Lonchura striata: one gene and its partners. The protein of the gene in region 1 purifies or fractionates together with the protein of each later gene. This does not show direct contact. Links are inferred from orthologs where the notes say so. Each region holds a gene or a part of one and is shown in the gene's direction. Other genes may lie near its edges. The genes, in order: ATP6AP2, ATP6V1A, V-type proton ATPase subunit S1 and VMA22.

Region 1 (7,531 bases):
AATTACTTTGCTAGCAACCAGCCTGGGTTTAGTAGTAACACAATGAACACAGCAGTCCAGTTTAGACCAATGGTGGGCTCTTTGACTCAGCCTTTTCCTCATATTCCCTCTTCTACCATCATTTCACCCATAACGCTGTTGGTACAGACAGGGCTGGAGGCAAAGGCAGCATCCAAGTGCCACGTGAGCAATTCCTGCTGAAGACATTTCTGCACAGCACACTCCTAAAACAGCCAGGGAATGCTGGTATTTTGCCTACAGCTGGCACGTTGATTTTGTGACTGCTACTAGCACTATATGGCTTTATAAAAATTATTTCTGACCTAATGTGCATGTTGTCTCATTTTTTCACTTGCCCTGAGCAGAAGCTCAAAATGAAATCAGTTTAAATAGAATAATTTTACTGCATGTAGATTTTTGTCACAAGTATTGCTTACAGGATTACAAAACTCACTCTCTTCAAAGCACAGCTGGGATCTAAATTAAGCCTAGAGAAAATAGCTAGAACTGTGCCAGCCTACAAAGTGATGGTATTATTCTCTTATATTGGGCTTCACTGACACACAGATATACCCAGTGGGCACTAGAAACCAGTACAGAGTTTGTGAGACTTGACTGTTTCATAATAAAATTTATTGCTTCTATTTATTATTTTTCCCAAAGAAGAAACCAAGATGAGAACAGGAAAACATAAGATGGAGAATTCAGAAACCATGTTTGCACTGTGATTTCAAGAACAGCAATTTGAGAAGCAGAGAAGGAATATAAGACTCTTCAAATACAGAACTCTGATTTCTCTTCTATTTCTAGAATTACATTATAGTATTCCTAGCACCACAAGTTCAGAAAAAGAAAATGAGAATGTGAAAGCTAAAGTCTCAAAAATACAATTCCTTCTGCAACTGTGAAAAAAATAACATTATACTCTTTTGTTGTTGTATGACTTTCAGAGTGAATGCTTTATGCAAAAGAGTGCCAAGAAATTAGTTTTAAAAATTGAAATTATTGCTAACATGCACAGATAAGAAACATAGAGATAGTAACAGTTATAAGAGAAATAACTTTCTCAAAACAGTCTTATTCACTCTGGTACCTTTTTTTCCACATCACATTTGTAAGAAATCCTTAGTTTAGATGAAGAAACTTGTTCCCTCATAGGATCCTTTTCCTGTTCTTTGGTTCCCACTACGTTTTCATCTAAGACAGAACCACACCCACCCAATGCCCTCTAGTAGTTTCAGAAACTTACTGCTTTGGGTCACTCTTCTTGCCTTATTTCTATGCACCTTTTGGGTGTATACACAATCTGAAGGGAGGATAAGGTAAGCATACCTGCAGTTCATCTGTACTTCAGACTACAAGGTGCAGGAACCATGTTTTCCTAGACAGGCAAAAATTTGTGAAATTATGCTAAAACATATGCAGTAAATGGCACACTACACTTGCAAAGCCAAGTGCCCAAGGGACAGCAAATGCCAAAAATAAGGTAACCCACAGAACTTTAATCCATGGGCTTACCTGTTGTGGCAGCATTATCAGTTCACAATACAGAATTTCAAAATCATCATGCCTTGCTCACTGCACAAACCAGCTGGGCTCACTGAAAAGCAATCATTCAATATCTTTGTTGTTCACTGATCCAGGCCTTCTCTCCCATGTGTTTTTCTAATCCTGCTCTGAAAGCAGAAAAGCCCATCAGGAAACAACTATTTTGATCATATCTTTGCCACAGTATTCAGGTAATCTCACAAACCTTTTTTTGCATTTATTTCACAAAAGCTATTATACAGTGCAGGTTTTGTGGCACACAATACAGAGTAAGAAATGAGTGGGTATTAATTTGAAGTGCTCATAACTTGCTCGGCTGCTGAGTTTTAGAGTACCCTATGCATCTGGCATGATTTTCATATTCAAAATGTAGTTTCTATCTGGCAGCAGGATGAGCAGGAGCTCCTCCTAATTTATGCAAAACAACTCAAAGACAAGGGAGGAATTGTTATTGCCACCTATGAAAAGCTGAGTTTAAATGATTAGCCAATTGTCACATACTAACATGTGGTAGTGACAAGGATATAACTTTACTTTCTTAAATACTGTTTGCTGTAAACACACTTTCATTTTACTACCTGCATTCCTGTGCCCACTCACTCATTCTTCTAGACAACTTTTTTTTTTCCCAGTGAAGAAATATTGCTCAGGCACATTTTCAAAGTGTTTCTATAGTTGGCTGGAATTTCTAAAAACACAGAAGGATACCTCTGCCCAAATAGTTGTATGGGTAGTAATCCTTGGCATGTTCTGCGCATAAATACTGTCTTACCACGTGGATGTGGCATAGGTGCTGTCTCCCAGCAAAGCAGATAAAACATTCCCTAGCACTTCTGCATTTAGTGTAAACTCATACACAATGCTTCCCAAGGAATCCAGGACAAAAAAGCCCACCAGAAAACAACTATTGTGAATCAGATAATATCAAGCATTTATTTCCATTTATTTCACAAAAGCTGTTATGTGCTTCTGGCTTTGTGATGCATGATACAGAGTAAGGAACGAGTGAGTATTAATTTGAAGTGCTCATAACACAGTTTTACTTCCAATGCACTGGGAGGCCTTAACCTCCTACATGGTAATTCACCCTCAAAGCCTGGTTTTGTCTGCCTTTACTTGCAGAGAGCTTAATCAAAATCCTGGAGCCTAAAAATGTACAAAGACCCCAAGGCATACTCAGAACTTCACAGAATCACAGAATGGGTCAGGCTGGAAGGGACCACTATGGGTCATTTGGTCCAACCTCTCTGGTCAAGAGGGGCCATCCCACAGCACATGGCCCCCAGGACTGTGTCCAGATGTGTCTGGAGTATCTCCAGTGAGGGAGACTCCATGCCTTCTCTGGACAATCAGTTCAGTGCTCAGTCACTGCACAGGAGAGAAATTCTTCCTCACGTTCAGGCGGAACTTTGTGCATCAATCTGCCTGTTGCCTCTTGTCCCACCACCCCACGGAGCAGAGCCTGGTCCATCCCCTGACCCTCCCTGCAGACACTGGCAGACAGGGATGAGGCCCCTCTCTGCCCTCTCTTCTCGAGGCTGGACAGGCCCAGCTCCCTCAGCCTTTCCTCACTGGGACGCTCCAGTCCCTCCATCATCTTTGTCACCCTCCACTGGACCCGCTCCAGCTCCGAGTCTGTCCTGTCCTGAGGAGCCCAGAGCTGGGCACAGCACTCCAGGTGATCCTCACAGGGCTGAGGAGCAGGACCTCCTCCCTTGATTGTGATGATCATGGCATATTACAGGAATACCCATATTACAGGAATATTAAACATACACTAACCACAGTGCCCCACCTGCCTGTTCTATCACACACCAGAAGTGAGATGAGCATGGCTGGGGCAGTCACTGAATTTGTGGATATTCTTTCTCTGCAAAATTTAAGGAAGAAACCACTGATGGTGGGGGCATAGACAAGGGTGTGAAAAATGCACATTTTATGATTGGCTTTTTGCAAATATTACAATGAATATTATATGTGTAATGTTAGAAAGTTATGCTGTATTAATTCTTGTAAGTAGTGTGTTAAATGTAGTTTTAAGTTACAACATAATGTTAAAATAGAAACTCTGCGATATAGTATTTGTTACAAGCTCAAGCAGGAAGATGAGATAATCAAGAAACTCTTCACAGAGATATCAGCGAAGGGGGCCCATAAAAAGTTACAGCCTCCTTATCAGAAAAGACAAATGTTCCTCCACCTTCTCTCCGTCTTTGTGGAACCAACAGGATTAAGAAGAAGTTGACAAAAACCAGAAAAGTTCTTAATTTGCAAGGAATTTATGTATCATGCATGAGATATATGCAGCAGGCTATTGCTTTTAAGGTTACTCCTTTGCTCACAAGGGATCCTTTTCGTGACTTAGTGTCCAAGAGCATCCGGACATCCGTAATTCTTTGCTTTTTATTGTCTTGTAACTGTCCTAACTCTAAATTTAATTACATTAATTGTATTACTATTTTTAGAACCATTTCATTATTATTAAACGATTAAAAATTTTAAAAGCCAAGTGACTGGCGTTTTACACAAGGGGAAGGACGAGGACAACCCCAGGAACAGGAGGAGCCCCTCACGGCCCACGGTCCCGTCACAGCCGCCCTCGCTCTCTGATTGGTGCACTCGACTGTCAGTCACAGCGTTGCCCCGCCCCTCGCTGTCAGGCTTACGGAGTGGGCGGAGCCAACCCCTACTCCTCGCTCTCCGATTGGCTGAATACGCTGACACTTGGCTCCGCCTCCTCACCGCTGCCTCTGGGTTTACAGCGCGGGGAGGAAAATGGTGCAGGACCTCTGGCAATCTGATTGGCCAAGCGAGAACGCCACTCAAACAGAGACTCCGCCCTCAGCTGGACAGCTGACTGCTCCGCTCCGGCGATTGGTCCGCTCTGCCGAGTCCCGCCCACTCATCGTGCATCCCGCTCGACGATTGGCTGTTGTGGCTGTCCGTCAGGCGGCGGGCGGGGTGCTGTCGGCGGCGCGGCGGCGGCGGCTGATGGCGGTCATGGGGCGGCGCGGCGGGGCCGGCCGGGGCCTGCGGCTGGCGGCGCTGCTGGCAGCGGCCTGGGTCGCCGGTGGGTGAGCGGGGACGGGCCGGGGAGGGCTGTCTGCAGGGGGAGATTGCGGGAAAGCGGCCGGGCCGCGGTGCTGGGGAGGGAAAGGTGAGGGGAAGGGTGAGGGGGGCTCTCTGTGGGTGCCAGGTTCAGGACCGAGGGGTGGCGCTGAGGGGGCTCTCTGTGTCTGTGGGTGCCAGGTTCGGGACCGAGGGGTGCCAGTGAGGGGCTGTCACTGTGCTGCAGCTCCCTGCCCCACCCCCATCCACCTCCAGAGACGGTGCTCGAACCCTTTTATCCGGTCCCTTTCAATACAAGGGCTGCTTTATACTAAATTATACGTTTCTATGATTTTATTGTGTAAATTCGTTATATAAAATTAATTTTGTAATTATGACACTAAATTATTACATAAGTTTTGACAGTATTTAGTGTATTTTTATAATGCATATGTATAATTATATGTAGTGTGTTACTTAATTAAATTAATTTATAAGGTGTACAAATTACATGAAAATCCAATTCTGTAAGCTGAGACAGAGGGATTCAGATCAGAGACCAGAAACACTTTTTCCCTGCCAGAGTGAGGCATTGGAATAGGTTGGCCAGGGAGGTGATGGGGTCACCATCCCTGGAGGTGTTGAAGAGGCATCTGGACCTGGCACTACTGGGTTGATAGTTGGACTCCATAGTCTTATAAGTCTCTTCCAACTCTGATGGTTCTGTGATAGACACACATGATTTTGTTATTTTATATGAATTTTCACGTTTTGCTGAGGTGTTTCTGTGGTCACTGTTACCCCCTCTGAGTCAAGCTCGTGATGGCACTTCCAGGCCCTGTAAATATTTCCTACTCAATGTTCTTTAGCCTTCCAGGTTCATAAAGGCTTTTGAGAACCTGAGGTACAGCTTTGGCAGTGTAGGAATTAGGTTTGCTATTCCATAGACAATTGGAGGGAATCTGCTGGTGTTCCCAATTACAAATTTAGTTTTAATAGTTGTAATCTTGAAACAAGTCTAGTGAGGGAAATTCAGTTGTGAAGGGTTAATGCTCTGATTTTATCCACCTGAGCAATATTGTCCTAGGTAAGCTAGTTTGCCCTAAGTAATGTGACTGTAGCAGCCTTGTGGAGAGCAGCATGTGAAATCCTATGGATTTGTAGCCATTTTGTAAATTCTTACTTAAAGAAATTGGTCTGGAAACATTCCTGCCCTTCAAAATGTGGGTTGAGCCACCATTAAAATTGGTAGCAGGCACCCAAGGAACACATAAATTTAAATAAATTCTTGAATCTACTCCATGAATATCACTCGGTTTGTCCTCTTTCCTTCCTTTTGCCCCCCTTTGCAGCCTGCATCTCAGAACTTTGTCCTTTGGTGTGTTTATCATAACATAGCTCAGATTTACTGTCAACATTTATATGCATGAGCCAGGCTTTGGAACAGCATCTTCAAGGTCACATTAGTTAATTTAATATTAGGGAAGTTTTTAGCTGTACAACACATCAGTTTACTGTTGCATTGTTTTTGTAAATAGCCTTTAGATTTGTAGATGCCCTGGAAAACTTTTATATCACTGCTTGGATTGGTAACCAATTTTCAGTGATCATATGAATAAATACTTCTCTTTCCTTTAGACAGTTATCTTAGTCATGTAATTTTGAGGTATGCAGTCAGATTCATTGTACTTGAACATACAGGCCTGCAAATAGTTATTACTCTATTGCTCGATTTTCTTGTATCAAATCAGTTTTCTGGTGGCAACCTACTCAAATTGCTGACTGGGGAGCATATGCCTGAAATTTTGTGCATGGTGCATGTTACTGCTTATATACACCAAAGAAGTTTCAAAATTTATTTAGATAAATTTTGGTGTATTGCAGCCATGCCTAAGTGACTTTAAGATAGGAAGCCAGGTTGGAACAAGCCCTTATCTTATTTCTGTGGAGTCCTTTCTGACTTTATGATGCAGTAAATTGCTGTTATCATAGAACAGTTTAGAAATATGCTTTTAGTGAACTTTGCTGTGCAAGGTAATGGGGAAGAGAGTGAAGGGGCATCCTAGAGGAGTGGAAACCCAGTGTTGTAGGTTGTGGCTCCTCACAATCAGCTCAGGTCCAGTGCTGCATCCAGGGAAGACAAACATCTCACGGTGTCATGAGGTGGAGGATGTAGAGGAGGGACACCAGAGCTGTTCTGCAGGAGCCAGGTTATCTTGGCACTACCTGGTTTAAGCCAGCACTGACAAATTCCACTGGACTTCCTGGCTTTGGGCTCAGTGACTCTGGCTGTTGCCTGCATGAGCAGAGGTGTTGTGCCAAGCAGTTGTGGAAGCAAACAGAGCTGTGTTGGTGCTTTGTGGGCTTAACAGGATTTTGGAGTCTGCCTGGCTCCATGGAGAGTTCACTTTACCAGGTCTGAACTGTGAGACTGCTTGTAAGTTGTTACACAGAACTGTGCTCTGCTGTTGTTTGAATAATTGTCCTGCTTTTGTTAATATGGATCTGTTCATTCTTCGTCATTGCTGTATGGAAACCTTATTTTGTATTCCTGAGCATTCAAATGAGCCGTTCTCATTCCTGGCTTTCCATAAACTGATAGGCATGGGAGGGAGGAAGAAGGGATGAAAGGTCAAATATGATCCTTAGGTAAAGGAAGAGCTTGCAGGAGCTCTGACAGCTTTTTATGTCTGTTTTTAGGTGTCTGTGGTGGCGAGTTCAGTGTCTTGCGATCCCCTCAGTCGGTCATTTTCCGAGATGGAAGTTGGCCGATCCCGGGCGAGCGGATCCCAGATGTTGCTGCACTGACCATGGGCTTTTCTGTTGAAGAAGTACGTTCCAGGTCTTGGTTGTGAAATGCCTCTAGAGCTGCAGACCTGCTCACTCAAGATGCAAATCTTCCTGTCATGTGCTGGAATATATAAAACATTGTCCT
Region 2 (7,937 bases), about 81 Mb from region 1:
CAGTAAAATGGTTACAACTCCTCTACTACCTTCTTACCCTCCCAATCCTTCCTACTTTGTGGAATGTCTTAATCTGGTTATGGAATTAAACTCAAAGTGGTCAGAGTTATAAATCAGGTTAAAGTACCTATAATAAACTGAACTGATTTTTTTATAAACTCATTTAGAAGCTGTTAAGCCATTTGTAAGCTGGCATATAGGCAAGGTCTAAATTTACCGTCCATGAAAATAAATGCAGACTTTAGCTCACACTTGGACATTTCTAGGTTCAGAAAAAGCCTAAAAATAAAGTGATTTTCAAGCTCAATTACCTTTTTTGTCCTGACTCCAGTGCATATGACCATTCAGCAGTTTTCTCATAAACTTGGAACTTCCTCCCATATATGTTAAGCTTAGCACTGTGCCGAGCAAATGGAAACAATTCAGCAGCTCTGCACAAACTCTGTCATTCTAACTCAGGAGAGAAAAAACCCTCCCTGTTCTCCTCAGAAACATGATCATCTTCAGGACCTTGAAAGGTTTACTCCTTGAACCCAGGCAAAACAAGCAGAGGTATCAGAGCTTACCTTAACAACTCCCCACACTTTCAGAAACAACATAGTTATTTTTCTGTTCTATTCAGTACTCCCCAGCTGTGATGTCTCTCCTGCAAGGCAGCCAGAGCAGCACAAGCCTGCAAAGTCTCAGGGTTAGGAGGCAGCAAGTACCTGTTGTGTAGAATACAGCCTGTAGGACTCTTCCACAGCAAGTCATAAGGACCCTTAGAAACTACAAAACCTGAGACTTAGCTGCAAACACGACAAAGTTGAGAGGCAATCTCCTAGGAGAGTCCTACCCAATTTAGTGCACACTTCTTTCTAAGGCTGGTTTAACACACAGCGCTCTACTTAGTCCCTGCTTCAATCAGTTCTCCACCCCATGGCTCAAGATGTGCTGCTGCATGACAATCTCCCAGGTGTTTCATATCAAAACTGGAGATGTTAATGTGACAAAACAGCACATGCACAGGAGCCCAGGCACTGGGCCCTGCTTGTAACATGCCCTACCGGCTCCATGTATGTGACAATCCTGGTCACACCGCAGGTACATGCACGCAATGGAGCATGCAGGTCCTGCAATAGCCTTGTGTAATGTGATTTTTAGGTAAGGCCATCAGGGAAAGGCTGGATACCTTACTTTCATAGGTTTCATCTGAACTAAAACAAATTAGAAATGCACCCTTACTTTTAAGACAGCAAATGTCATGAACAGCAATCGGCAAATGCTCAAGAATCAGTGCAAGACTTTGAGTTTTCTCTCCTGAAAACCAGTAGCATAACAACTGGTAATGAAAACACAAAACCACTGAGCAACAAGTGAATCAACACCATGAATACAACAAAGTGCAGGGAGGATTATTTACATCTGCTATATAAAAACAGCCAGATTACTACAGACAGTGGAACCCGAGTCTCTTCCACTGGTATTTTTCCTCATGCAAACACAGTTCTAAAATAGATTTTCAAATTCAAGAACTAACAACAATAACATATAATAAATTAAAAAATAAATTAATCTCTACAGAATCACAAGATTCACTAACAGAACAGTGAATTACCTCAGTTTTTCAAGTCACATTTAAGAAAAAAAGGGAAACATAATGAGACTCTATTAAAATTATTCAGAAGGTGAGGATAGAGTGAACATAAAGCCAAGTCTCACAAAACCAGGTGAAAGCTAATAGCAGTTCCCAGTTGAGAAGATGGTGTTTAACTCATCAAATAAGAGAAAATCCACAAAATTGTAAGCAGCTGAGAAATCACAAAAATCTTCTGCTATTTCTGAAACCAGAGGGCCAGGGTAGAAGAGGTCACCTAACCTGAAATACCCTGATGACACAGACCCTACAACCTGCTATGCACTATTAACACACATCTATGTGCTATTTTGAATTCAGAGAGCTAAGAAAGAAGGCTGCAAGACACATACATTGACTACAGGGTCTTTCAGATCTGAAATTTCATGCCAATGAATCAGATAGTTTCTTTTTTTAATTCTTTGCCAAAGTAGACTCTTCATAATGACAGCTGATAAAACATCAGCTGCTCTAAGTGCTTCCAAAATCACCTCTGCATTTGGTGGTGTGGGTAACAATGCAGTGCATATATTCCCAGAAAAAACAGTCACAGGGCATCAGTTTGTTCAGAGGGACTTGTCCACAATTTTGGATTCAGTACTGAAGACAGACCAGATCCCTTCAAGCACATCAGTTTCTATATGCTGGGAGCTGGAGCTTTAGATCTATTTTTGGACCCATCCTTTGACAGTACTTGTACTTTAGGGATCTTCACCGATCCTTGTAACTTAAAAAACAATTTAGATCTTTTCCAAAGTACCCCTGTGTAATTTATACATTCCTTTTGAACTATTCTCTACTTCTTTGATTCTCATTGTATTTAAATGGGGATATTTTTCAATCTGAGCTCTGTCGGCATATTTGCCTCCATCTGAATTTTTAGAGAACACCTGGATTCAATATGAGGATCTGCACAGGAATATGAATTTATTCTGCACCAGAACTTTCTGTGTGGTGCTAACAGTGTTTTGGCAAGACAGGAATATGCTGTTCTTCAAAGAGATGAAAGAGTACCATAAGCAGAAATACCAAGTACAGAACCCAAAGCAATAAGCCCTAAAGTTGAACCAGAAACAAAGCTGTCTGTAAGTAAAAGTAAAGTGACAGAAATAAAGTTGGGTGCTCTGGAAGCAGAAGAGTGGTATGCAGGTTTTTTCTCCATAGCCTTTTATTTAAAAAAAAAAAAAAAAAAGTTACAAGAAGTAAAAAAGTCCATGAAATGAGAACTCCTGATCAGTGCAAGCAAAACCAGGCTCAGTTCCTCAGGGAGCACTGAGCACGACAGACAGCTCCAGCCATGCCCTGCTAGGAGATCCCCACAGCACCAGCCTGGCACGCCTGGGCCGCTTTCCCACTCACACATCCAGGTCCCAGTAACCCCATCCCATCACTGACACACGAGCAAAGCAAGGCTAAGCTGTTAGCAAACAGCAGAACGGTCAACAAAGGATAAAAGGAAACCCAGTTCTGTCGGGAGCGCTGCTGAACAACGATCGCATCAACTGCCACCTCATCCTGGCTGATCCGTGCTGCTGCTCTTCCCGCAAACTCCGGCGTCCTCATTACAAGGGGACTAAGAGTGGGGGTGTCCCTTTTTATGTAGGGTGGTGCAGGTGGATAAAGGTTTGTCCAATATCCCAAACACACCTATCTTATGTCAGCTGAGAGTTTGTTTATTTGCAGTCATCCCTGAACCTCTTTCTACAGACACCTGCCAGCCCCTCAGGATGCCTGAAGCTGCTTACACGCTGTAAAAACCAGCCAAGAGTCTGTTATCAAGCAGACTTGTATGACCTCACCCCTACTGCTAATAAGCTAAACCCCTTACCATTTCTTAGTAAAAGCTTAAGTGATTCAGCTTCCATTCACCCTGCCTTAAGCTGCCAAACTGGAATAATAATACCCATCATTGCATAACACCAGTTCCAAGGGGACGGTTTAATGCTCTTTTGAGAATCAGCTGAGGACAGCTTCCTTTGTGCCTGTGAAGAAACTGAGGCACAGAACTGGAACAAGCACGTTTTGTGGTGCACAAATGATGCTGAAATTAATAAACATTAGGTGGCTTAGCCAACATTGAAAAACCTGTCCCAAAGTGACCTGGACAAGGTCAGGCAGGTCATCTGACACCAAAGCACAACTGTGAGTGTAAAGGCCTCCGGTCTCCTGTACAGAAACGGCACCTCACTGCCCCCACTGAGAAGGAAATCAGTATTTTCAGCCACCCAGATTTGAAATCTCTAGTTTTCAGGAGACAGAAAGAAGCGATGCCAGACCCAAAGCAGCGGGTGTGCTACAGGAACATGACACAGGACACAGCTCGTTTGTCATCCATCTACGCTCTACAACCTCCACGCAGCAATTCAAGACTTAAAAAACCAACAAAAGTGCTAAGAGGATGTTACACACAATAGCGCTGCAAAACCACACACACCCGAGGCTGTCAGCTTTTTCGCACACAGTGAGCGGCGCTTCTTTGCTACCGCCAGACAAGGAGCAGCCAGGGAGGACAGCCCGGCCAGCATCCCCGCCCGCTCTGCAGATCCCAGACCCCGCAGGGCGGGATCCCCCCGAGCACGAGGAGCCGCCGCGTCCCGCCCGCTCCAGCGCGGGCTCAGCGCGGAGAATCCTCGCTCCGGCGGCGGCACCATCCTGACGGGCGGCTCCTGCTCAGCCCAAAGGGCGCCAGCGGCGACACCGCCGCCTTTTCTCCCCGGAGGGACGCCGGGCCACGGGCCCTGTCCCAGAGGGCGGGAGGGACGCAGCAACACCCCCCCGAGCTCCGAGGCGGCTGCACCGCTCGGCCCTCTCCGCCCGCCGCGCCGCCCGGGCCCGCCCCGCTCCCAGCTCCCCTCCCGGGCGGGCCCGGCCCGGGCCGAGCCCCGCACTCACCCCTTCATGGTGCGTCCGCGGCCTGCCCGGCGTCCGCGCTGGCTGCGTCCAGGGCCCGGCGGTGCGGGTGTGGCTCCGGCCTCCCCGTGCTCAGCGCGGGCAGCTCAGTCTCCTCCCGATCCCAATCCCGCTCCCGCTCCACATGGGCCTCCTCCCGCCCCGCCCCGCCCCGTGACCCCTCACCTCACGCCGCGCGCGCGTCCCCGCCCCGCCCGCCATGACCGCCCCGCCCCTCCCGCGCGCCCCCGCCGCGCACGCGCCGCGCCCGGCGGGGCGGGGAGAGGATGGGGAGGCCCCGCTCGTCTCGGGGACGGGGCGTGCTCGCTGTCACGTGACACGGAACCACCAATCGGCGCGCCCCACCGCGCCCGGCGCGCTCCTGCGCGGCAGCGGCCCCGGCAGGGCGGGCGAAGCTCCGCCCGGAGTCGGGCAGGGCTCGCGCCCGGCGCTTCCGGTGTGCGGCGCAGCGCATGCGCGCGGGGCCCGGCGTCAGCTGATCCAGCGCCTCCTTTGCCGCCGGCGGAGGGACTCGGGCGGATTCGGGCGCGCCGGGCCGGCCCAGGTGAGACGCCCGACCCCTCTCCCCCTGCCTCGCACCGCTGCCTCCGCCGCTCCCGAGCTGCGCCCGGGGCTGCCCTTCTCTGCGGTAAAGGAGCGGGGGGTCGGCTGTCGCCGCTCTCCGCCCCGCTCGCACCCTGCCCGGGAAGGACGCGGTCTCCCTGCGGAGCCGCTCGCAGGGGGAGCGCGGCCCCGGCGCTGCGGAGCGGCGGGAGCCGGGAGGGGGGCGGCCGGGCCGCAGGGAGCCGTGTCCCGGCGGCACGGCCCGCAGGGAGCCGGCCGTGCGCTTCCCGGCCCCGCTTCGCAGGGAGCGCAGAGCTGCAGAGCGAGGCAGCCCCTCAAGGAAAAACCGTCCGAGCGCTCGATCGAAGACACCCAGTGAGATGCTTTAGGGTTATGCCAGAATCCCTTACCGAAAAGAGACAGGGCGATAGCGGCTGGGTTCCAGCGCCAGGTCATCCCACCATCTTGAGTGGGTGGATCTGAATCTTTCGGTGCCTTGACCGCAGCGCAGCAGAGAGAGAGCAGCGCGGTTATGGAAGAGGAATTCCGCTGCGGGCTTCTCCCTGCAGCCATCCGTGGCAGAAGAACCCCCCTGTTGTTGCTTTGCAGTTGAATATCTTGGTGGCACATCAGATGTGCTTCCTATTCCTGTAGCCAGTGACAAAATTTTGCCTCAGATGAGGTGTTTCAGACATCACCCTTGGCATTCACTTAAAGGCAAGAGAAAAATCTTACACAGCTGGATTCTGGATGATATTGTTCATGTGACAGGTAGCTGTCACATTGGAGTATGTGACACTTGTGTCAGGATCCATCCATTCCGTGCAGCTGCCCAAAGTAATTTACTTTCTTAGGAGAAAGTGAAGTCTTCCTTCCTGAAATTTTACTGTCTTTTCTCATAGAATTTGCTCTTCTGCTGGGCATAAAAGCAATTTGGTGATCATTTTATTCATTGTAATGCAATACTTCAGCAAAGTACACTGGCTATTTGATCTAGCACGGTATTTTAAATGCTAATTCTGCTTGCTGAAGTGGAGAGGGGGTGGAAAAATAGGAAAACCTGCTGATAGACTGCTAGAAGTGATTTATTAGGAAGAACATGCGAAATACAAGCTGGCATTTGCAAGTGGAAGTTTGAGTAACTGAGGCAGATCTTCACTATGTTGTAAGTTGTGCTGTATTTATACTGACTTCTGCACTGTGCAGATCTGCAGCAGCTGAATGTTTGGCTTCTCTGTGCTTTCAAGGCCTTTTCAATGACCAGCAAATATAAACATGTAACAATATCTACGTTTTATTATTTTCTATGTAAGAATATGTGAAGTGAGATCAGAATCTACAGGTCTTTGAATTACCAAAAGTACTGCAGATTATTTTTGCTGTGCCTGTCAGTCTGTAATGCAAAATCCTCTGGAAAAGCTTTATTCTTTCATGTGGGGAAAAAATTAGTCTTAATTTTATGATCAGGTGGCAAAGTCTGACATTGAGAAGTACTAAATCACCATGGACATCAGCTTGAGAGAACAGGGAAGGACAAATTAAGGCAACAGTGGAAAATGGCTGCTGGCATCAGCTGACTGTTCAAAGGGGGGTTGCAGTCTTGTGTTGCAATAGTAACACAAGATCTCTGTTTCCCGTAAATACTGCCTTGTGGTTTTCCAAATCAAGAATTATTTTCTACAGGTAGTGCTAATAGGGTTGAGCCATGAGTGGTTAGTGTAGCTTCATTTTTATAGAGCATTAGCTTAAATTTAGCTTTTGTTTTGGTCTAAGTGTGTATTAACAGTTTTATGCCTCATTTGCCCTCATTTATGAAGGCTGTGGGCCTTAAGTGTCCTTCTGTTATCTAAATTTTTTTCCCAGGATGACTTCATGCATTTATCTCCCAGACTTGCATGGTGCTGGTGTTACACATTGTCATCCAAAGCTCCTATAGACCAGCAGGTTACCAGATGATTCCCCTGAAGATCCTTTTAGAGGCACTGTGCATTCCCCCTTGTGATTTCATGCCATAATGGTTGTCTTTGGGTTCTCAAGCCCTGAAAGTTCCTACTGATGGGTTTCCCTCTTGCTTTGAAATTGCATGTTTATGAGCTATGGCTGCATTCCTAATTACTCTTTTAGAAAGAGTAAAAGGATTGCAAGATAATCTCGTTGAGCTCTTTGGTTACTTTAATGTTGACCATAAAATGTTGAATGCTACGTCTGAGCAAGTAGTAATACCTCTGTTTTTTTCTCTTTTTAAGAAAACCCTACAAAATGCAAACCATGCAGCAACCCAATGCTACATTGCCTGAAATATATTCTTTTCTCCATGCTTGTTTTGTAGGTTAAAAAATAGGGGATTTCAGACTTGGAAATACTGAGGCATTGTTGAACAATGGTATCCGTATGATTTTTTTTTTTTAGGCTGGAATTTGGCCAATGAAAACAGACCATGCAGTCAACTGGAATATCATGCTCATTCATTTTTACTGAACATCTTAAAACATGTGACTTCTTTAGCCTTCCAGCTGGGCAGAGAGAAACAGGGTCCTACTCCAGCCGAAGAAGCAGAATGAATTTAAACTTTTCAGCCTTTTTTTTTTCCTACAGAATAAGCCAATAATCACCTAAATCTCCAACATGCAAAACTGGTTTTGACTGGATCTTCTGTTTGTCATTGTTGTATCTTTTATGGTATAAAAAGCTTTTTGCTTGTCTTTGATGCTCTCTCTCCACTTTTCCCTTTGTGAGTGGACAGCTAAGCTTATACCAAATTCTTGGGTTTGGTCATCTCTCATGGCATTAAGTTCTGCACTTATAAATATTTTTTGGTTGGTTACTTTATTTCATCCAAGCATTTATTTCTTCTGTGTCTGTCAAGCTC
Region 3 (6,903 bases), on another chromosome or scaffold:
TTTCTTATCTTAAACACATAAGGCAGAAACCCCCTCAAACCCTGGATTCTTACAGAACAATAGAATATACATAGCTTACCCAGATGTAGCTGCTTTGCCTGCAAACATTTGTCAAAAGAACAACTTTACATTTTGTAGCTCATCTAGATGGTCATAGTGGAACTGCCAGCATATAATTATTGTATCGGATGTTGAAATTATTGTAAGTATTATAATTTAAATATCATAATTTGAAATATGCATTTCAGATATTTGAAATATGTTTATTTTTGAGGAGTTTGTATTATTTGAAGAAGTAAATTCTCCCCATAATTAAGAAAGTTTATATTAGATCATAGTTACAGAGAAAACATGATAGGGTGTAAATTCAAAAATCCAACAGAAGATTGCAAGGTTCTTCTTGAAACCTCTATTTTAAGATGTGGCTTTAACCCAGCCTTTTGCTCTAACAGATGAAACTACCTAGGAAAAAGCAGTAGCATTTACAAAGAGAAATAAGTACATATTTGACAGCAAACAGCTGAAAACTAAATTGACTCCCTTAACAGAACATGAACTGTAGAACTGGTACCTGGCTGATAAGTGCATTTTAACATTGTTGGAATCTTTCCACTGATTTTACCATTAAATTCAGAATTTTAGTTTAATTAAGTTCTGGATTGTAGTTCAGTACTGAACTAATTGTAGAATTGCAGCACATGAGCATTCCAGCTGATGACTTACATTCTTTCTGACATCTGAGCCTTAAGATAGGAATGGTTGCTAAGTCTGAATTTCCCCCAGAGTGATAAAAGGCGTTTTGAAGTAAATTATGGGTTGAATAGCAATGAGTTGCATAGATAGGAATCTGCCTCTTTATAATTTTTTCCTTCCTTCTTAAACATATTTTTGAAAAGGTAATTTACAAGTCCAGAAGGATTATTTAAATAAAAAGTAAGGAAATAGTTCAAACAAATGTGAAAAGCCAATAGTCCATTGATTTCAGTGCAATGCAGTGTTGGAGGTTTCTGGAACCCTAGAGTCATTTAGGTTGTGAGGACCTTTAAGATCAAGTCCAACTATTAACCTGATACTGCCAAGTCCACCATTAAACTCTGTCTCTAATTTCTACATCTACATAGCTTTTAAATACCTCCAAGTGTGGTGACTCCATGACTCCTCTGGCAGCTTCTTCCACAGCTTCACTACCCTTTCAGTGGAGAATTTTTTCCTATTATCCAACATAAATCTCTTCTGGTGCAACTTGAGGCCATCTTCTCTTGTCTCTCTAGATTCTTCACTAGCTTCACTGCCCTTCTCTGGACATGGTCCAGCACCTCAATCTCTTTCTTCACCCTTAAACAACAGATCTCTCATCCAGATCATTGGTAAAGACATGAATCAGTACTGGCCCCAGTACTGAGCCCTGGGGAGCACCACTGGTGACTGTGTGCCAGATCGATGTGAACTCCATTCACCACCACCATGAGTTCTTTCCTAGCAGTGCCCTTTAGTCACATTGTGGACACTTTTGTGTAAATAGTTAAAAAATTGCTCTGGAAGTATAGTGAGTTGAATGCTTGACTAATATTTGGAACATGCTTTTCCAAAGCATGCAAAATAAGCATCTTCTAACTAATGTCATCCTTCAAATCAGTGTCCAAAAAACCACCATTTTTAGGAGTGAAGAAAAAAGGAGAAAATATATGCAGATATATTTTGGAGCTAAATTTACTTAGTGAAGCAAATTGAAATCCCACTCAATAGGCTCTTCTTACTCCTTTTTTTTTTTTTTTTTTCAAAGCTTTTATAACTTCAGTTGTTCCCAAACTGTGGTTTGTGGCAAAATATTAAAAAGGAAGAGTCAGTTTGTTTTCAGTTAAAAGTTTGTTCATAAGTGATACGGTAATCTGAGAGAAAACAATCTGGTTATGTTTCAAAAAGTTTTAAGACTGTTTCTGTAAGGCAGAATACAGGGTATTCCCACCAACTGTGCATCTCACTTGTGTGTGTTGGAAGCTCACAGCAGTGAAGAGAAGGCAAAGCTCCGGATGTGATGTACTCCAGGAGGAGTCTGTGCTTTGTGCTGCTACGGCCATGGGGAGGAACGGGAAGTGAGGGTAGAGACCATGTGGTTGTGTTCCACTTGTTGCCCAGAAATGTTTTGTACAAACCAAACATCTCCTACAGGAAATATTCCATACATTGCAACTGCACAGAGTGGAAGGTTTGACCACAGTCCCACCAACAGCGCTTTGCACAATAGTGGTTAATAAGGTATAAAATGTATCTCAATTTTGTATCTTAATGGAGGATGAGAATTTGACACAAAATTTTAAGGGACATACTGACAGGCTTGACTTTCTTGTTCTCCACAAAAAGGATGCCTTTTGGTAAGTCTTAGGTCATCAGTTATGCTGAGTATTGATGCAGGAAATTAAACTTGTGATTGTAGTTATATTGTTAATGCAATATATTTTGCAGCAGCTGCTTTTGTCACCAGCAATCCCAAAGAAACTACATTCAATAAACCATGGATTTGTGAACCCAGCTGTCTCTTCTGAATGTGATCAGACTTGCAAAATATTTGTGCATCTGATGTAGGGCCTAGGGTGACACTTTTGTAACAGTCTCCGAATTGGTTAGTGTGTCGAATATTGTCCTTCTGCAAAATTAGGTTTTTTTGGAAGTTCTGCAATTCCTTTATTCTGTCTAGGTGCTTCTGTTTCTACTTCTGTCTTTGAGGTTTGCTGTCTTACCTGTACACACTCAAACAGACAAACACTGGCATGTTAAAGGGAACAGATAGGATTTCTAATACATCTCCGAGAAGAGGAAAAAGTAAAGAGTTAAATTCTTTGTTATGTAAAGGTAACGTGGAGAAGAAAAGGAACATGAAAATGTTTTATTGCTACCCTTAAAATTACTCTTTTTCTGAGAAATCAGATTTCAGGGTGATTTGATGAACAAATTGCCTTATATTAGGCAACCGCACTATAACTACATACTGTGATTCAAGGCAAATGGATTTAACTAATCTGGCTGTGCTCAGATTTAGACATGTCTTCTGACCTCTGTGTCGTCTTGTACAGTTTTCATTGTGCTTCCTTATTTTTCCCTTAACACAACTTGTTTTAACATGGCTCAAAACTTCTTTTGTGTACGATCTCTAACTTCCTGTTCTGATGAGGCATTTGTGCCCAGAGCCAAACATGTGCTGAGGCTGCTGCTGCCTTATGTAGTCACAAGGTGTAGAAACTGCTCAGTGTTTGGCAGGCACAAAAAAGCGTGCCAGAGCAATTTGCTTCCGGGCATGAAAGAATTCTCTAAGACTATTTTGTTCTTGCATGAGACTTGTGAAATACTGAAGTTGTGTCACGTTCTGAAGTGATTATAATTTGCCCTTGACGTGACATATTTTTGATTTCTGGGACAGCATTGCTCCATGCAAAAGATAGCTTAACAATTGTGTTTCAGTGGCTCTGAACGTGCCATTTTCTCTCTCTCTTCCTTCTTGCTGAAATCTGCAAGTTTGTTGCAGATTTCAAACCTGTCAACACCCAAATGTGTGACGCCAGATCTCAAACATGTGAAAAAAATAAGCTGAGGGACATAATAATATATAGCAGGGGACGAAGATAGAAGTTCTGCAGAATATAGTTTGTGCAGTACAGAAAAGTTTCCTGTAAACTCCATTTTGAAGTTATATAACTGTTATCAGCCCGCATAGGACAGGAGTTTGGACTTCATGGCTCTCCCTTGCACTTGAAGGTTAGAGGAAACTGACAATGTTTCCACAGCAGAGTGCTTTACGAGCTGTTTAAATCACAAACGTGCAAGCATTAAAAACAAGAGTCGCTCCCAAGCCCCGGGGAAGGAAGTCGATGCAGTGACAATTGCCGTGCTGCCGGGAGCAGCGTCAGGCGCGGCGCAGCGCGGCGCTCCCGCCCGCGCGGTCCCTCCGCCCGGCCATGGCTCCGGCCCTGCCGCTCCGCGCCCTCGCCCTGCTGCTCCCAGCCGCCCTGGCCCTGCACCATGTGCCGATGCTGCTTTGGTCGACTCAGAGGTAAGAAATCGAATCAGAGTGGATCCCTGCTTATGCTCCTGCTCTGGGCGCGCCTGCACAGAATATATTGTGCCATCGAATATGGTAAATCAGCCCTGGGCAATACAATTATTTGCGCCATGGCCATCAAACAAGCCAACATATTCTTTTACCCATTTTTATTTATAACTTCAGTGTTCTAAGCTCAGCAGAAAGAAGTAAATAAACTCTGTAAACTAAACTGAAGTAGAAGTGCTTTATTAACCCTAAAGCATCTTTGAATTCCACTGTTAGAGATGTTGTGAGTTAAAGCCACAACATAAGGCGGTGACACAAAAAGGAGCTGACCAAAAAAGGCAGTTTTTTTAAGCCTTGGATTTCCTAACTTCTGAACCCTGACTTTTCACTTTAATGTTCTTTTAAATACAGGTTCTTAAGTAGATTGCTGTATGTATGTGCATCAGTTGTTAGCAACAACTGCAGTCTTGACAGATCCAGAGAAATTCAGGGGTTTGCATATATGTATGAAATAGGACTTTGAAGCTTTGAAAGTATCAGGTACAGACCTCTTTCTTTCCAACCAGGAATTTTATTCATTATCACTTTAAGGATGTTGTACCATTACTTGGGATTTCCAGAAATATGGCAGGTTGGGCAATGCAGTAGTTTCAGGGGGATATTCAATATGTAAAGTTGTCAGAAAAATAGGCCACTTATTAACCAGCTTTGCTATATGTTTACTCATCTTTTATGGATTTTCAAAACCTGAAACTCTGCATATGGAAATCTCCATGTTTTGAAAAAGTTTGATTTTATAGCTTTTCCTTTATTTTCTCTCCCTAAAAGAAAAAAAAAAAAAGTTTCAACATCAAGGCAATTTTATATTCAAAATACTTAGTGATTCACCACTATGTGAGACAGGCACTCATATGAGTGTATTAGCCTTGTGTAATACCGCTGCAAAGCATTTAAAGCATTTAAAAGCAAAGTAAATGTTGGAAAGCACTGTTCTTATGTTAAAATTGATTCTAAGCATCTAAGAAAAGACCAGTGCTGCCTTTGTCCTACTTCCTGGTTTATATAAAAAACATACTTGCTTTATATATAAACAAGATCTTATCACTTAATTCCATGTGGTCATAAAAGCAAACTTTCCATCAAGATGCAATTAGCAGCTTTTTCTACTGCAGATTTTTCTGGTTTATACAAATCCAGAGCAAGAAAATCAGGATACTAGACTGAGTAAACAGTTTCATGTCTCCAAGAATAGAACCTTTTCTGGAAGAAGTGTTCCTCCAACCATGACATTTGCATTTTGAAAGGAGAAGTTCTTGTGGGGCCAAAATTAGTTCTGGGGAAGGTCTGTGAAGCAAGTGAAAAGTTTTTCGTTATTTTATAAAACAAAGTAGCACTTACAACAACTTCCTCTTGCTAACCCCTAACTCTGTGCTTTACATTTGGTACTTCACAGTGATGCAAGGTTTGCAGCGTGTCATCCACAGGCCTAATTTGGAAATTATTATTAATAGTCTTAGGAAAGTTAACTACAGAATTGCAGTAATTATGGATATCTATGGATATCTGTTCACTCTGTAGGAACATGTCCCACCAGTATAAACGTTTAGTGATTCATTAATCAACAGAAGTTGTGATTCACTGATCTATCCCTTCACCCTTTCCCAGGTTATCTGTTAGGATTTGAAATTGAATAATTGAAGGATACTACATTTTGTTCTAATTTAGAACTAGCCAGTGTTTGCCAAGCCATATCTCAGGACAGGTGTATTAGAGAATGTAACACTTTAAAGTCTTTTATGCATTTTTACTATGCTATATTCATGCTATTAAAGATAATGTTAAATGCCAGATAGAGTGAAACCTGCAGCTGACAAACACATGCAGTGCACAATGGGAAGTGTGATATCAGTTGTCACAGAGACATTAGGAAATCAAATACCTCTTTCCTCTAGAAAGTAAAATGCAGATCCCTACTTGGAGAAAAGTGTTTTTTTAAAAAAACAGCATTCTTTCTCAATTCAACTAGGGAATAACTCAGTATGTCACACTGTCCAGTTTTTCACAAAAGAATATATCACTGGATGTTCTTCAAATAACTTTGGTGTGGAAAATTTGACCTTTATTTTACATCAGTCTTTAAACTAATTTTCCTTGGTTGGGTTTTTGAAGCAGGGAAAGCTGAGAGGCTCTTCTTGCATATGATACACAGAACAAATTTGATTTAGCCATTTTGAACTAATATTCTGAAGAATTTATTTCTCTCCACACATAAAGAGATGTTTGAGCAAATAAATTAATTAAAATTAGCTTTTGTGATTTCCCCCTCATGTGTTTGTTTTAGGAATGATTTTTGCCTACAGTCTTTTAAAATATATTACTTCCTTTTTTTATGCTATGCTTATATAGGGAAAATAATCCTTTTCTGGCAAACCCAGGTTATAAGTGACTTTGAGAAGGTGTTAATGCCAATTAGTACATTTGCACTGTTTCCTAAACTACAGGGACTTTACTGATAAATCTACTGAAAAAAAGGTGTAACATAGAAAGGAAATTAATTTTTTTAGCTATAATTTTATTGGATGCCTATGAAGACACTGTGTGCCAGCATGAATGCTATTTTACTTCTCCTGAGTATGGGGAAAACATGATTTCTTAGATGGAAATCACAAGGTCACTATTAGGGAAGACTTAATAAGAATAGACAAGAATAAGAACTGACAAGAATAACTTGTAGGAAAGAGGTCTGAAGCCAGCTACAAAGCAAATATATAAGATCATGAGTTAGACTGCTAGAAGTCTTGTCTTCCCATCAGCCCTCCTGGTGGCTCCAGATACAGGAAATATTGAATTCTTTGTTTCTG
Region 4 (7,494 bases), on another chromosome or scaffold:
GGCGCCTATGAGGTTGTGACCCCCCCCACGGACACTGGCAGCGGCCCCTGCCTGGGTGAGCATGGGGGGGAGGTCCCTGGTGTCCTGGGGGGGGTCTCGGTGTCTGGAAAGGGTTTGGGGGTTCGGGGGGGCATCAATGTCCAGCCCACCCCTTACTGACCTCCTGCTCCTCCCCCCAGGGTTTAACTTCCGCATTGGGAAGCCCAAGGGCCCGCGGGACCCCCCAGCCGAGTGGTCCCGGGTGTGAGGGGGGGTCCGGATCCCTGGGCCCCCTCCCCACCACAGAGGAGGGGCTGCAGCAGAACCCGGCTGATCCTTACCGAGCCCAATATAGAAAAAAAATCATTTATTATGACAAATAAAAAGTGATTGTGAGAGACCCGGCTGTTCCTGGGGGAGTCCAGAGGGGTCCCAGCTGCCAAGGTGGTCTCAGGTGTGCAGGTGGGCCCCACCTGGGGGGCTCTCCCGGTGGTCGGGGGGTGCTGGGGGGCTCAGGTGGCGCTGAGCAGGCGGCGCTTGGGGGCCGTGGCCGTGTATGGGTGCCAGCGCCACTCCACGTCGGCCGCGTCCCCCTGCTCCAGGGTGCCCAGGCGGATCAGGTAGGCTGGGGGGGGACACAGGGGGGTTTGTTGGGACATTTGGGGACACCAGGGGGACTTTTAGGGCTGTTGGGGACAGCAGGGGACACTCACGCCTCAGCTGGAAGCGGGGTCCCACCTCCTCCAGCTCCACCGTCCGTCCCCGGCGCCGGTACACGTGGTTCCTGTGGGGAGTGGGGGGTCAGAGGGGCTCGGAGGTGGGGGGGGGGGGTCTGTCCATGTCCCCGTGTCCCCACGTGTCACCCACCGCACTAAAATGACATCATCCTCGTTGGCGAAGGTCACCACGCGGCGGCTGTCGGGACGGGGAACAGGGAACAGGTGCTTCAGGATGGTCCCGACCTAATGGGATGGGGACAGGGACGGGGACAGGGTCACCCCAGCCCTGGGACCTCCCGTGCTCCTCCCCAGTGTCCCCATTTCCTCCCCCATGTACCCCAAATTCCCCTCTGTATCCCCTCATATCCCCCAGCTGTGTGTCCCCCATGTCCTCCCCATATTCTCCATGCCTCCCATCCCCCCAGGTGTGTGCCCCCCATGTCCCCTCCTGTCCCCCCCACGTTCCCCACGCCCCCCCGACCATACCCTTTTTCCCAGGGTGGAATCCAGGCGCAGCAGCAGCAGGTGGGGGGCGGCCAGCGGGGCCCCCCCGAGCCCCCCAACCTCCTGGCGCAGCACGGCCCCGCTCAGGGTGAAGTGGGCAGTGGGGCCGTGGGGCAGGTGGGACACGGTCAGCCCGTCTAGGGGGTGTGGGGCTTGGTCAGGACACACCCAAAAACAGGCCACACCCCCTTGGGATTAGCCCCACCCACCCCCCTGACACCTCAGGTTTTGGATTTTCTATTTTTCACATTTTGTGCTGCTTTAGTGTGTGGGTTTGGGCTGCGTATTATGGGGTGGTGAGCTCTCTGCACAGAGCAGGGAGACAAAACAATTCCTTCTCCAGCTGGGCACCAAGGACAATGATCCAAATCTCAGTACCAAAATATAAACAATGTGGGCTGGAGAGAGGAAAAGAAGGATGGGACTTAATGGGTTAAAGCTAAAATTGGACAATTAGCTCAAATATACAAATAGACCAAAACTAATAAAAGTGTAAGACCCTGTGAATGGTTATCCATTTCGTGACCATTTTGGTTCATTTGGGTGCAGCCCAAGGTGGATCCATTGCGGAGATCCTTTTAATAAATCCCTGCTTTATTAATTAATTTTGTCTAGCTCTGCTCTAGCTCAGCCTTCCCAGGGCATCACCCTCAGCCCCTCCCCTCCAAGCAGAGACCCCAAAAGGTGACCCCAGCCCCTCCAGCAGCCCCGCCTGGCACTGACCGGGCCGCCCGCGGGTCTCGTGCAGCACCAGCAGGTCGGTGACCCCCGCGGCCCGGCACGCGCCCACCAGAGCGCCCAGCTCGGCACGGCCCCGGTTCATGCGGCGAGCCCCCGGCAGCAGCAGGCACAGCTCCTGGGGACGGGGACACGGGGACACTGAGCCACGCCCTGCCCGTGTCACCCCTTCACCCAGCGTCCCCCCGCTTGTGCCATTACAGCGTCCATGTGTCCCCCAAATCACTGCCCCCATGTCCCCCAGATAACCCCCCAAATCCCCCAAATCATTACTCCCTGTATCCCCCAAATCACGTCCCAGTGTCCCCCACATCACCTCCCCCATGTCCCCCAGATCACCCCCACATGTCCCCAAGTCTGTCACCCTAGCACAGGGTGACAATGACACACCCATCCCCTGGCCCACCTCAGAGCCACACCCAAACTCAGCCCAAAGCCCCACTGACCCCAAACCTGGCCCCACCCACCCGAGACCACACCCAAACCTGGCCCCACCCACCCGAGACCACACCCAAACATGGCCCCACCCACCCCAGACCACACCCAAACATGGCCCCACCCACCCCAGACCACACCCAAAACCAGCTCCACCCACCTCAGACCACACCCAAACATGACCACGCCCACCCAGACCACACCCAAATATGGCCCCACCCACCCCAGAGCCCCACCCACCCCAGACCACACCCAAACCTGGCTCCACCCACAACAGAGCCCCACCCAAACCCAGCCCCACCCACCACAGACCACACCCAAACCCGGCCATGCCCACCTTGGCGAAGAGCCGCAGGCGGGCGCTGGGGTCTCGGGAGGTGGTCACCATCACCTTGGGGGGCTCCAGCCCCGCCCACCTGTACTCATCATCCTGGCTGTCACCTGTCTCTGGGGGCGGGGCTTTGTCAGGCCACACCCCCTGCAGCCACACCCACCCCAGGGTCATCGGGGTCAGTTCAGAGTCGGGGTTCCGGGGGGATTTTGGGGGGACATGGGGTTAATTGCCATTTTGGGAAAAGAAGGCTCAGATTTGGGGTGCAGCCCAGACTGTGGGTGTTGGTGCAACCTCACACTCATTTTGCGGTGAATTTAATCTTATGTGGGAAACTTAGAAACCCACAGGGAATTTGGGGAAACTTCTAAAAATGAGATCAGTCTCTTTTTTTAGGTATTTTTTGGGGCTGCCTCCCTCCTGCCTCAAGATTCCCTTCTCCCCACTTTGGGGTCTAGACCACCATTCAAGGGTCTTGCCTGTCCCCCACCCCTGCATTTGGAAATTCCAATCACCTCCAACTTGGGGGTCCCCTCCCTCTACCCTCCCATCCTGATTTGGGGGTCCCTCTCCCCCAGTTTGGGGGTCCCTCTCCCCCAGTTTCGGGGTCCCTCTCACCCCCCGGTGCCTGGAAGTCGAACTCGAGCTCCTTCTGCAGGGCCAGCGCCTCGCGCCGCAGCTCCGTGGGCAGCAGCCGATTCTCTGGGGAGGGGGGAGAGAAACGGGGGGGCTCAGACAGGACCCCCAACCCTCCCCATTCCAATACCCCAGCCCCACATAACCCCCCGGGCCTGCAGCACCCCCATGTCCCCTCTTAGCTCCTCTTTAACAACCCCAAACATCCCCCAACCCCCTTAAAGTCCTCTGTATCCCCCCAAAACTCTCCTCACCTCCTCCAAATCTCCTCTGCCGCCCCCAGCCCCCTTTTCACACATCCGGGATCTCTTCTTAACTCCCCCCCAGCCCCCTGTAAGCCCCCCAAATTCTCCCCGGTCCCTTTGCCCCCCTCCCAGCCCCTCTGTTCCCCCTCCCCGTGCCCCGGTACCGTCGAGCGCCCGCCGCAGGCTCTCCCTGCGCTCCCGCTGCCGCTGCTGCTGCTGCTCCCTGGCCCGGCGCTGCAGGTACTCCCGGCGCTCCCGGGCCTGGCGCCGCAGCTGCCACGCGGGGACAGGCGGAGGTGACACCGGCGGGGACACCGGCGGGGTGCGGGGACGGGCCCGGTGAGGGGGACATGAGAGGGTGGGGGGCACGGCGGGGGAGCCGAGGGGCCGAGGGATGGGGGACAGCGGGGGACAGCGGGGACATCATCAGGGGGAATCAGGGGACAGCGGACACGGAGTGAGGGACGCGTGAGGGGGGACATGGGGACACTGGGCAGGGGGGAGGGCTCGTTGTGAGGGGCATGGAAATGAGAGCATGGGAGACACGGAGGGAGGCCAGAGGCACCATGAGGGTGGGGTACAGGCGGGGACATGGGGGGACACGGGACCACCGACCCAACCCCGCGCCCCTCACCATGGTCGCGATGGCTCCGCGCCGCTCCTCACACGCCGGCACCTCCCAGTACCACCGCTTCCCATTGGCCGAGCGCTGCTGGTCCAATGGGAGCGCGCGGTGCTGCCGGAAAGGGGCGGAAAACGCCGCGCCCTCACTCGAGATGGCGGCCGGGTGGGCTTCACCCCGCTGCTGTGCCGGGCCTCACGCAGGCCCCGCCCTCCGGCGTGCTGCGCTCGCTGATTGGTCGAGAAGTGTCGGGGCGGGCTGCGATTGGACGAGGCGGGGCCAGGCCTGAGGCCGCGGTGAGGGCGGCGATGGACGGTGAGGGAGGTCTGGGGGCTCCGCGGGGTTTGGGGATCTCTGGGGGTCCCGGGGATGTTCGGTGGGGGTCTCGGGGGCTTTTCTGGGGGTCTCCAGGAGACCGGGAACGTTTTGGGGGGGGTCTCAGGGATCCCGAGGGTTTTGTGAGCGGGTTTCCGGGGCCCTGGGGGAGTTTTGGTGGGGTCTGTGAGGGCCTGGGGGGTCCCGGGACGCGGGTGGCACCGCGGGGACTCCGGGCCGGTCCCCGGGCGGGGGGGAGCGGTTCTGGTGGGTCTGGGGGAGCCGCAGGTGTCCCCCCGGGTGTTGGTTGGGGTCCTGAGCCGTGTCCCCCCCCACAACCGCAGGGTCGCTGTCGCTGTCGCTGGACGAGGCCGCGCTGGAGGTGATGGAGGCGCTGGAGCTGCTGCAGCAGCGGCGGGAGCAGCTGGAGCAGCACCTGCGGCAGGTGAGGGGACACGGGAACACGGCAGGGACACAGGGGGACACGCCACCCCTCGTGGGGACACGTGCGAGGAGGTGCCACCTGCCACAGGGACACACCGGGCAGGTGCCACCTGCCACAGGGGTGTGCCAGCCCCATGGGGACACAGCTGGGGACACTTCCCTGCTGTGGGGACGTGCCTGGGGACACACCACCCGTCCTGGGACATCCTGTGGGGGACATGTCACCCACTGTGGGGACACAAAGGGACATGCCAGGGTGGCACCTGTGTCCCCCCGGGTGACTGTCCCTAGTGCCATGTCCCTGTGTCCCCTTCAAGGGGTGGCTGTCCCCCTGCTGTGACCCCGATGTCCCTGATGTTCCCACAGGGGTGGCTGTGCCCCCGCTGTGTCCCCAGCGTCCCCGATGACCCCACAGGGGTGAATGTCCCCCCGCTGTGTCCCCAATGTCCCCGATGACCCCACAGGGGTGAATGTCCCCCCGCTGTGTCCCCAATGTCCCCGATGTCCCCGCAGGGGTGGCTGTCCCTGGCTCAGGCCCGTTACTCCCTGGGCTGTCACCGCGTCTCGTCCCTGCAGTATGGGGCCACCATGGTGCCCCGAGTCCGTGTGTGCCACAGGTGGGGGACAGAGGGGACAGGGACACTGGGACATTGGGGGACACTCAGTGGGGGGTGGCAGGGACACAGGGAGGGATATGAGGACATTGGGGACATTCAGGGAGGGGACAGAGACACAGGGAGGGACATGAGGACATTGGGGTGTCCCCAGTTTGGGGAGGTGACACAGGGGTGACACTGATGTCCCCAGTGTGGGGGGTGACTGGGGATGCTTGGGATGTCCCTGTGGTGGCCAAGGGACACCAGGGCACGGTGGTGACACTGTCCCCACTGTGTCACCCCCAGGCAGGACCCAGAGGGACGCCCCCACTTTGAGGAGGTGCCAGGAACAGGGGGGGACCCCGAGGACCCCGACCCCCAGCAGGGGGGGGGTGACGGTGAGAGGGGGGCTGGGTGGTCCCTGGGGGGGTTCTGGGGTCCCTTGGGGAGGGGTCCTGTGGGTGTTGGGGTCCCCAGGTCCCCAGTGGGTGCTGGGGACAGATTGGAGGTCCTGGGGATGTCACCCATGGGGGCTGGGGGGAGAATTTGGGGTGCTGGGGGGGTGCGGTTCTGAGGGGTCCTGTGGGTGCTGGGGAGTTCTGAGGGGTCCTGTGGGTGTTTGGTGGGGGTTACTCAGTTGTTTTTGGTGGGGGGTTCCTCTGACCTTTGTCTCTCCCCCAGGGCTGCGGCAGCGCCGGGGAGCCCCTGAGAAAGGGGGGGTCCCCAGCCGGCCCCCCACAGACCCCCTGGGCTGGTTTGGGGTCCTGGTGCCCCCCACTCTGCGGCAGGCCCAGGGCAGCTTCCAGAGGGGTGAGGATGGGGGGGACTGGGGGGAACTGGGGGATCCCCAGAAAGCACCAAAGGTCCCCAAACCCAGAGTGGCCCAAGAATTGGGGGAACACCCCAAATCTGTGGTGTCCCCAAAACTGGGGAGGTCTAAAGGTCACAGCCCCCATGACCTCCTTGGTCCCCCCGATGTCCCCCTGTCCCCAGGGGTGACGCTGGCCGTGGAGGTGGCCGAGCTCCAGGCCACCGTGGAAGCTGCGGCCGCCCGGTACCGGCAACTCCTGCGGCAGAAACGTCACCTGGCCAGGGACAGCCAGAGCCCCACGGGAACCCCTGGGGACAGCAAGGACACCGAGGGTGACACAGTGACCTCAGTGACTGCGTGACACCGAGAACAACGAGGACGTATCTGCAGGTGACACACGGGGACACACGGGAGCACAGGTGACACCATGGGGACACAGGTGACATGGGGCTGTGCTGACCCTTCACAGGTGACACAGCTGCCACCAGGGACACAGAGGACAGCAGCACCTGCCTGTGGGTGACACTGAGGACTCTGCAGGTGACACCGAGCCCCTCACGTGACTAAGAGGGGTCCCCCCATGTCCCCACCTCCAATAAAGCCACCCTGGTGCCACCACAGGGTCATTTGTCACTGCTGTCAGGTGCCAGCTGTGCCAGTGCCACCATGGGCTCATTTGTCACCACTGCCACATGCCAGTCATGTCATTGCCACCATAGGGAACATTGTCACTGCTGTCACATGCCAGCCACAGCATTGCCACCATAGGAGTTGGTGCCACCACAGGGAGCACTGTCACTACTGTCATCGCTGTCACATGCCAGCAATGGCATTACTACCATAGAGAACATTGTCACCGCTGTCACATACAGCCATGCCATTGCCACCACAGGGAGCACTGCCACCACTGTCACATGCCAGCCATGACATTGCCACCACAGGGAGCACTGCCACCGCTGTCACCGCTGTCACATGCCAACCACGGCATTGCCACCACAGGAGTTGGTGCCACCATAGGGAGCACTGTCACTGCTGTCACGTGCCAGCCATGTCATTGCCACCACAGGGAACACTGTCACCGCTGTCACATGCCAACCACGGCATTGCCACCACAGGAGT

Evidence for each region.
Region 2: the proteins of ATP6AP2 (region 1) and ATP6V1A purify together in Homo sapiens (co-immunoprecipitation; 3 studies listed by BioGRID and IntAct, with this or other methods). This does not show direct contact. The link is inferred for Lonchura striata from reciprocal best matches to the Homo sapiens genes ATP6AP2 and ATP6V1A.
Region 3: the proteins of ATP6AP2 (region 1) and V-type proton ATPase subunit S1 purify together in Homo sapiens (affinity purification with mass spectrometry; 5 studies listed by BioGRID and IntAct, counting the BioPlex papers as one, with this or other methods). This does not show direct contact. The link is inferred for Lonchura striata from reciprocal best matches to the Homo sapiens genes ATP6AP2 and ATP6AP1.
Region 4: the proteins of ATP6AP2 (region 1) and VMA22 purify together in Homo sapiens (affinity purification with mass spectrometry; 3 studies listed by BioGRID and IntAct, counting the BioPlex papers as one, with this or other methods). This does not show direct contact. The link is inferred for Lonchura striata from reciprocal best matches to the Homo sapiens genes ATP6AP2 and VMA22.

The regions. Positions count from the first base shown.
Region 1 is NC_134604.1:109,580,922-109,588,452, forward strand, and holds the start of ATP6AP2 (renin receptor), read left to right. Parts: upstream 1-4,528; 5' UTR 4,529-4,539; coding exon 4,540-4,618; intron 4,619-7,296; coding exon 7,297-7,427; intron 7,428-7,531. UniProt on the Homo sapiens protein: Multifunctional protein which functions as a renin, prorenin cellular receptor and is involved in the assembly of the lysosomal proton-transporting V-type ATPase (V-ATPase) and the acidification of the endo-lysosomal system.
Region 2 is NC_134604.1:28,288,742-28,296,678, forward strand, and holds the start of ATP6V1A (V-type proton ATPase catalytic subunit A), read left to right. Parts: upstream 1-4,936; 5' UTR 4,937-5,069; intron 5,070-7,937. UniProt on the Homo sapiens protein: Catalytic subunit of the V1 complex of vacuolar(H+)-ATPase (V-ATPase), a multisubunit enzyme composed of a peripheral complex (V1) that hydrolyzes ATP and a membrane integral complex (V0) that translocates protons.
Region 3 is NC_134607.1:31,872,616-31,879,518, forward strand, and holds the start of V-type proton ATPase subunit S1, read left to right. Parts: upstream 1-3,887; 5' UTR 3,888-3,950; coding exon 3,951-4,045; intron 4,046-6,903. UniProt on the Homo sapiens protein: Accessory subunit of the proton-transporting vacuolar (V)-ATPase protein pump, which is required for luminal acidification of secretory vesicles.
Region 4 is NC_134638.1:870,057-877,550, forward strand, and holds VMA22 (vacuolar ATPase assembly protein VMA22), read left to right. Parts: upstream 1-4,484; 5' UTR 4,485-4,517; coding exon 4,518-4,524; coding exon of another isoform or gene 4,525-4,533; intron 4,534-4,868; coding exon 4,869-4,969; intron 4,970-5,481; coding exon 5,482-5,585; intron 5,586-5,870; coding exon 5,871-5,962; intron 5,963-6,245; coding exon 6,246-6,374; intron 6,375-6,557; coding exon 6,558-6,736; 3' UTR 6,737-6,765; intron 6,766-6,844; 3' UTR 6,845-6,990; downstream 6,991-7,494. Other genes in the region: U3 small nucleolar ribonucleoprotein IMP4, read right to left, coding at 492-604, 693-763, 847-941, 1,185-1,339, 1,926-2,058, 2,713-2,822, 3,325-3,408, 3,752-3,860 and 1 more. UniProt on the Homo sapiens protein: Accessory component of the proton-transporting vacuolar (V)-ATPase protein pump involved in intracellular iron homeostasis.